2 linked regions of the Coturnix japonica genome follow. The protein of the gene in region 2 interacts with the protein of the main gene of each other region in a biochemical or structural test. Links are inferred from orthologs where the notes say so. Each region holds a gene or a part of one and is shown on either strand. Other genes may lie near its edges.

Region 1 (3,515 bases), on a different chromosome or scaffold from region 2:
AACAACAAAATGAAGGTGACCAGAACAGGTTGCCCAAGGAGGCTGTGGATGCCCCATCCCTGCAGGCATTCAAGGCCAGGCTGGATGTGGCTCTGGGCAGCCTGGGCTGCTGGTTGGTGACCCTGCACACAGCAGGGGGTTGGAGCTGGATGAGCACTGTGGGCCCTTGCAACCTAGGCTGTTCTGTGATGCTATGATTCTGTGCTCACAAAGGAATGGAATTCTCTTTTTGCACTGCGGCTCAGCCTTGTAAAAGTGATCTCCTGCGTCTAAACCACAGACAACCAACTTCTGCGCGATTATAAAGAGCTCTGGTTACTTATTCTTATGAGTCCAGAAAGATATTTAAGAGGAATTATGCGAACAAAAACGTGAAGTCAGGGCTCCTGTCAGGCGAGCAGCACAACCATGGATATGAATCCAGTTACTGCACTGAGCCATGGGAAGCATGGAAAAAATGTGGGAGAGAAGGCAAAGCGGTAAGCTGATGATTCACCTTCACAATCAAACTGAGAGATACAGAGATCAAAGAGCGAGCTGTTTAGAAAGATGTAAATCTGAAGGCAGGAACAGGTGTGGATTAGTTTCTTGCCACCGAGAAATGATTTCTTTCTTACTTTATTTTTCCTGTTCTACTTCAAGACCCGCACCTACTGCTATGTGCCTCTGTAAGTAGCTTTCTCACTTCTGTTTGCAACTACTGCTTTCTTTCCTGCTATTTTAAGGAGAGTTATAAAAATCTATCAGTAATGATAACTCTTCCTCCTTTCCTCTCTCTCTCCCCCTTCTCTGTTCTAAGTCTGGGAGACAAGTCTGGACCAATTTCTCCATCCCGCCTCTGGCAGCAGAATGCAGCATTTCAGATCCTCCACCGAGTCCCGGCTGCTTCAAAGGCAAAGCCCTACTTTCTTCCGTTAAGATCATAAGAAATATAGGGGGAGGGGGTCAGCTCTGTTTGGACATAATTACACTTCATCAAAAGAAGCTTTCTTCATCTTCCATGCGTGAAAAGTCTGCAAGCAGTTAAGTCTGTCTTTTTTCTTCCTTTTTTTTTTCCTTTTTTTTTTTTTTTTTTAAAATATAAAAATTGCTATTTGGGAAACCAGCCAAAACTCAGAAAGCCAATATAGTAAAACAGTGCACACCCTTTGTTTTGCTTTGAAGTCTCTTAAATAAATATGTTGAGGGCTTGAAAAGTACACTATCGCTTTTCCATAGATTCTACCCAGACCGATCAGAGAAAAAACTCTATTCCAGGTTGAACGACCGGTGCCCAAATTCAGAGGTTTTGTGTTCCTATGTGCCCACATCTACACCTACCGAAGTGTCCCAGGCCCTCTGGTTGGTTTCCTATGGGCTAACAAAAAAGCTTTTATCATACATTTCAAATGAAACGGCACATCTCGGATCCTTTTGGTACTGCTGGAGCAGTCACACATTGAACTCCTATGGTAAAGCACTGCTAGCGACCGAGCCAGGGAACCTTCAGACCTCACCCAGCAGCACAGTAACAGAGCAGGCTGGTTTTTCCAAAGGAAGCAAGACAAATGGAAGAGGAAGGCAGCACTGCATCCCAAAGGGCAGCGAAGGCCATATTTATACTGCATCGCTTCTGCAGGAGTTATTCTGTTTTCAAGGTATCCTTTATTACCAATAATTTTCAAGATGTAAAATGATAAAGAGAGCTGTTGGCCAAGTCACTAATATAAAAAATAGCTGCTGTGAGCCACACTGATGGAATCACTTTCACAAAACAGCCGTAATTGTAAAAGCATGCAGTCTGACTGAAACTATCGCAGCCTCCATCCTACGTTTGGTGAGCATTTTGGGGGGAGAAATAGCCCTAAGATGTACAGCTGCCGTTAAAGTGTGTGACCGTACATTAGCTTTATTACTGATTCTCCACACACACAGTTCAGCTTTTATTTCTTCCTTTCCCTCCACGCAGGGCCAGTTTAAAACAGAAATAATTACTGCAAGTACACAACGCATAAACACTGAGGCTGAATCGATGGCTGATTGATACAACAGATCCCTCTGAGCATTCCTGCACTAAGACTGAAGTGCCAGCTTCCCTCAAGTGGTCATTTCAATCACTACCTTGAATTTTAAAGGCAGCTGCAAGAATCTTACATTATTTTCGTGCTCTCAATGGTGACAAAGGCTTTCTAAGTACGCTTACAGTGAGAGCGGAGCTGGTCTCTTCTCACTGGTGACAGGATGAGAGGAAATGGCCTCAAGCTGAGTCAAGGTAAGTTTAGGTTGGATGTTAGGAAACACTTCTTTACAGAAAGGGTAGTTAAGTACTGGAATAGGCTCCCCAGGGAGGTGGTTGAGTGGCTGTCCCTGGATGTGTTTAAGAGCCGTTTGGATGCAGTGCTCAGAGATATGATTTAGCAGAGGGTTGTTAGAGTTAGGGTACTATGGCTAGGCTGCGGTTGGACTTGATGATCTTTGAGGTCATTTCCAACCTGAGTAATTCTATGATTCTGTGATTCCCAGGTCACAGGATCCTCCTGAACAGCTGGAAGACAATGACAGCACTCTAAATCTCCCAAAAAAATTGGAAGCTGCCCTCCCTGACATTTAAAGACTGAATTTCGTTCCATCCAAAGCTTACCATCAATTCATATACGTCAGGCAGGTTACTAACAAGAACAGCGAGGTTTCTGTCTGCAGGTCACACACAAAGGGCAGGGAAGCACCAGAAGGCTTTCTACCAATAGCTGTGAGCTTTCAAAGACCATAACTTAAAACACATGTGATGTGCAACGCTCCTTTAATTCTAGCTCTCCTGCAACAGCTCCAACAGAAGCGCTACTGCTGAAAGGAATCCTTCATCTCTTCTTACAGCGGCCTGAGATGCACTGCCTGACCATAAGAAAACCATCACGAATATCCTCGTTTCCTTCCTCCTCTGCTGCGTGATTAAAATGGGGAACCAAGGTATTCTGTGAATCATTTCTCAAAACCGGCGTTCCAAAAATGAACAAAGACGTGGCAGGAAAGCTTTGCAAGGGAGAACACCTCGCTGGGCTGGCAAGTTTGCAAATAAAACTGGCATGTGTGAAAGGCAGGCAACAATTTATCAACACACGTTTCCTTGTGAAACGAGGCTGATGCTCAGGCCTTCCCTTCAGCCTGCTGTGCATGCACACAAAGCAGCCACCTACCTCTGCCACTCCTGCCCACAAATCGCAGGTCATTGAATCTGGCCACCTGGTTCTTCATCACAGCCGAAGCGTTTCGGAGCTCTGCAGAGTAGTTCTCGTCATTCCCAGCCATCACGGTGACCACGGTCCCATCAGGCACTTCTCCTAAGGCCACCACCTGTGAGAAGGGGACAAGAAAGCACAGCTTGTGACAAGGCTCTGCACTTCCTTGCAGTGCATACCTTCACAGCACTGAGCCTCTGCTCCAATTCCAAGGTGGGAGAACAGCAGCTCTGGCTTCTCCTACTATTAATTCAGTCCATCTCCTGACACAAATGTTTTACATTTTATCATAAGTCCTGC
Region 2 (4,108 bases):
AACGCACCCTACGCTTACGGCAGTCAGATTTCGGTAAAGCCCAACCCCAAGTAGAGTTCAGGGAGCCCCACTGGGGTCAGAGGGAGTAGCGCAAAAGGTAAAGTGAGGACAGCACCAGCACTCAACTTAAATGCTTTTATTGACAATGTCTCTGAACAATAATAAGCAAACAATGCTTAAGTTTCATCCAAATTCACTTTCCACATGTCAAAAAAGACCTCAAGGTAGAAAAAAATAAAATAAAAATATAAATATCTGAGAATCCATCTTAATAAATAAATTAAAAACACAATAAAAACGTTTTCATGGAAAACTTATGTCAGAACATTCAGACCACCTCAACAACGCATGATCAGTAAAGTTACAATGAACATCGATGTAGAACTACAGTACATGGATATAGCTATTCATCTACCTACTAGAAAATAAAATAGAGTCTCTTTCCCCCCCCACATAAGATGGGTCGTTGCTAAGAACACGATATTGCCAGGAACACAGTAGTTATTGTTAATCAGCTGCACTAGATACAAGTCGGAGATACCCAGCACCAGGTTAATTCCAATCATTTAAAACCAAGGGATTAATTAGTTAATGCTAGTGATACTAAGGAGGGGGGGAGTCACCAACCCAGCCATGTGGGACATGCTACAGACTACCAGCTCTCACAGATGGGCCGTTGGGGACAAGACAAACTCCATGCGGTTTGCTACATCTCTGGAGGAGGTATGGGCCCAGGCACTCCATCAGGCCCCGGGCCTCAGATGGATGGGGTGGGGGTGGCGGCGGCAGTGCCCTCCCCAGGCCCGGGGGGCGTGGTGAGTCCGTGGGGGTGCGTGGGCAGGGGAGGGGGCCCGGCAGGTCAGTCAGTGCGGGGCGAGCCCCTCACAAGGCCAGCAGGGTCGGGGAGCTGAGGGAGTCAGACGACGGCTCGTTGCTGCTGCTGCCCTTCCGGTGTGCGGCAGCACAGCTGGGGAAGGCGTCCGCCTCGGGGTAGGTGAAGACGAAGGTGGAGGTGTAGGTGCTGGGGCACGGGGTGCAGGTCACCACGGGGGTGCAGAGGGGCTCCAGCTCCCCGCTGCTCCCGGCGCCCAGCGGCTCCCAGTCCGACGCGTAGAAGGAGGAGGCTCCGGGCAGGTCCATGTCAGGCACGGAGCGGGAGGCCTCCCGCGGCCCCGTGGAGAAAAGCAGCTCGTCGAAGGGCTCGGCCTTCAGCTCCAGCCCGCTGCCGCTGGGCTCCTTGGGCGGCACGGCCGGCGGCGCCTCGGTCATTAGCGGCAGGGCGAAGGTCTCCTCGGCCGCGGCGGGGCTGGGTGCGCCCAGGTCCAGCGCGGTGGCGGCCGCCAGCTCCTCGGAGAAGCGCAGCTCCTCGGGCATCTTGCAGGCGGGCCGGTGCGCCGCCAGGATGAACTCCAGCTTCTCCTTCTCCTTCAGCAGGTTGGCGATCTCCGCCTGCAGAGCGGACTTCTCCTCCTCCAGCTGGTCGGTCTCCTGCGGAAGCACAGATCGGGCCGTCAGCCGGAGCCAACCTCACCCGCCCGCCCCCACCCGCGGGGTCCCGTCCCCGCCCCGCAGCCCCCGGGATCCCGGGGCGGCACTCACCGCCTGCAGCGTGTCGGTCAGCTCCCGCCGCCGGTTGCGGCACTTGGCCGCTGCCATCTTGTTCCTCTCCCGGCGGATCCTCCTCTTTTCCTCCTCCTCCGGGGACAGCTGCGGACACAGAGGGCGGTCAGCGCGTCCGTCAGACCCCCCGCCTTTCCCCGCGCCCCGGCCCCTCTCCCGGCCCCCCATTTCCACCCCCCTCCTCTTCCCCTTAGCCCCGCTCACCTGCTCGACTTTGCCCCTTCGTCCGATGCTTTGCCCGCGGCCGCCCGGCGCCTTCAGCACGGCGGGGCGGGAATAGGCGGCGGGGGGAGCGGGCGGCGGCACGCCGTAGGGGTGCCCGCGGTTCTGGGAGGGGGCGACCGAGGAGATGAGGGTGGGCTGCACCAGCCACTGCAGGTCGGGACTGGTGGAGATGGCCGTCACGGTGGGTACAAAGTTGGCGCTGGACACGGCCAGGTCGGTGCAGAAATCCTGCGGGACATAAAGTGGGGGGGGGGTTCGGTGAGCGGGGGGCTGCGGCCGACACTCCCCTCCGAGCCGCTCCCCGCCGCCCCCGGGGCCGCGCCGCCAGCGCCGCTCCGCACGAGAGCGGCCCGATATAAATATCTCTGACGTCCGCGCTGACGCAGGCGCCGCTCCGGAGTCTCCTCAATGAACTCGCGTTTTATCAATGAAGCCGCTTTACACACCCGCCGCAACGCGCAGCCCGGACCCCGGCTCCCCCCGCCCGCCCCGCGGCGGCGTCGCGGCCGCTCCCCACTCTGTCCCCGGCCCGGTTGAAGCCACCCGCCCCCCTCGGGTCCCGCATCGCCCCGACCCGGCCCGAGGCGCGCCCCCCGCACCCATCTCCCCCCAGCACCCCCAGAGCCCAGCCCCGCGGCGGCCGCGCAACGGCCCCTCACCTGCGAGTTGACGGGGGAACCCATGCTGGAAAAGGAGTCCGCCGGGGACGGGTAGTAGGTGAGGCTGTCCCCGGCCGGGGAAGCGCTGCTGCAGCGGGAGGAGGGCGCCTCGTACTCCCCGGCGAAGCCCTGGTACATCATGTCGGCTGTTTGCGTGGCCGTGCGGGGGCCTTGCGGTGCTATAGCGGAGCGCCTCGCGGCAGAACGCAAAGAGGGGCCGGCTGCGTCCCTGTATCCGCTCCGCGCCGCGCGTCTCTGTCTCCGCTGCCGGAGCTGCCTCTGCCGCTGGAGTATCGCTCGGCGCCAACCCTTTATATCCTGCTCCGCGTGAATCGCACACGTCACGCGGGACGCACCACGCCCGCTCGCGGGGGGGGCCGCTCTGCCCGCGTCCGCCTCGCCCCGCTCTCCCGGCCCCGCCGCCCGCCCCGCTCCGCCTCCAAGTGCGGGGAACGACGGCACCGCGGGGCGGAGGAGGCGCGGCGGGGCGAGGGGAGCGCGGCGGGACGGGCGGGAGGAGCCGCTCCGGGATAACCCCCCCCTCGCGGAGTGGTACGGCCGGTCTCGGGAACCCACTGACGCAGATATCCTTATATGGGATACATCCTGTGCGAGGGGGCGTGACTGACGGGAAGCGCTCCAGGCTGCGGCCAAGTGCGGCGCGGGACGGGACGGGACGCGGTGGGACGGGGCCGCCCCGACCCCCCCTCGCGGCGCTCCCCCGCGGCCGGCAGCCCCCGCCCCGAGCGGCCCGGCGGGGCTTCGTGCTATGGGAGCCGGCCGCGGACACGCGTGGGGTGCGGAGGGGCGCGGCGCCCTTCGTCCCCTTTGCCCCGCGGCGGGAGGGTGCTCAGCGCGGCGGGGACGCGTCCCCCCGGCGGGGTCACGCACACGGAGGGCCGGGAAGGAGTGCGGGGCGGCCCGGGGCAGGGCAGCTCTCGGGGAAGCCCCCCGGGCGTCGGGACGGGGGCACGGGCGGGGGGCGCGGGGGGAGCGGCGAGGGCGAGGCCCGTCCTTTCCTCCAGTTTGGGTTTTGTTTTGATCCCCGTCGCGGCGAAGCCCGGAGACACCCACCCACGGCGGGGATGTCGGCAGCCCTGGCTCGGGGCAGGCAGAGCCGGCGGCCAGACCGCAGCCTCGCCTCGCACGGGAGCCAAGAGATCGCGGCTATAGATAGTAACAGGGAAGCTGCAGCGGCAGCGTGTTTACAGCAACAAACAGAGCCCGCAGCGCAGTCTCCAAGCAGGAGCGTCACCCGTGCAGGCTGGGATCCTGCTGGCAGCCTCTCCCGCTCTTTGAGCTCACAGTCTAAATGCGGCTCCTGATGCCGCTGCCGCTGTTGCCGCGCGAACAACCTCCGTTCTTAGAGATCTGGGCCACGGGGGCGGGAGAACTGGGCCAGCTGCTATTTCTGCGCTGCCCGTCAGCGCCGAGGGGACAGCCAAGGACTGCCGCAGCGCACGGCTCCGCCGTTCCCGGCCGAGGGGCCCATGGGCCGGCGCTGCTCTCACCGGCTCCGGGCCTGCCAGGGCTGCTCCCTCCATGGGACCGGCCCGGACCCCCCGCCCCTCGCTCTGGCCGCAGCTCGGAGAGCCGCCCTCGGC

Evidence for each region. The genes of interacting proteins can lie anywhere in the genome.
Region 1: the proteins of FOS (region 2) and RUNX2 form a complex in vitro, tested with the Homo sapiens proteins (2 studies listed by BioGRID). The link is inferred for Coturnix japonica from reciprocal best matches to the Homo sapiens genes FOS and RUNX2.

What each region holds. Positions count from the first base shown.
Region 1 is NC_029518.1:99,729,617-99,733,131, reverse strand, and holds part of RUNX2 (runt-related transcription factor 2), read right to left. Parts: exon of another isoform or gene 3,331-3,515; coding exon 3,174-3,330; exon of another isoform or gene 2,503-3,173; intron 2,252-2,502; exon of another isoform or gene 1,949-2,251; intron 1,638-1,948; exon of another isoform or gene 1,258-1,637; intron 480-1,257; exon of another isoform or gene 190-479; intron 1-189. UniProt on the Homo sapiens protein: Transcription factor involved in osteoblastic differentiation and skeletal morphogenesis. Essential for the maturation of osteoblasts and both intramembranous and endochondral ossification.
Region 2 is NC_029520.1:34,667,223-34,671,330, reverse strand, and holds FOS (proto-oncogene c-Fos), read right to left. Parts: upstream 2,807-4,108; 5' UTR 2,646-2,806; coding exon 2,505-2,645; intron 2,074-2,504; coding exon 1,825-2,073; intron 1,708-1,824; coding exon 1,600-1,707; intron 1,489-1,599; coding exon 883-1,488; 3' UTR 122-882; downstream 1-121. UniProt on the Homo sapiens protein: Nuclear phosphoprotein which forms a tight but non-covalently linked complex with the JUN/AP-1 transcription factor. In the heterodimer, FOS and JUN/AP-1 basic regions each seems to interact with symmetrical DNA half sites.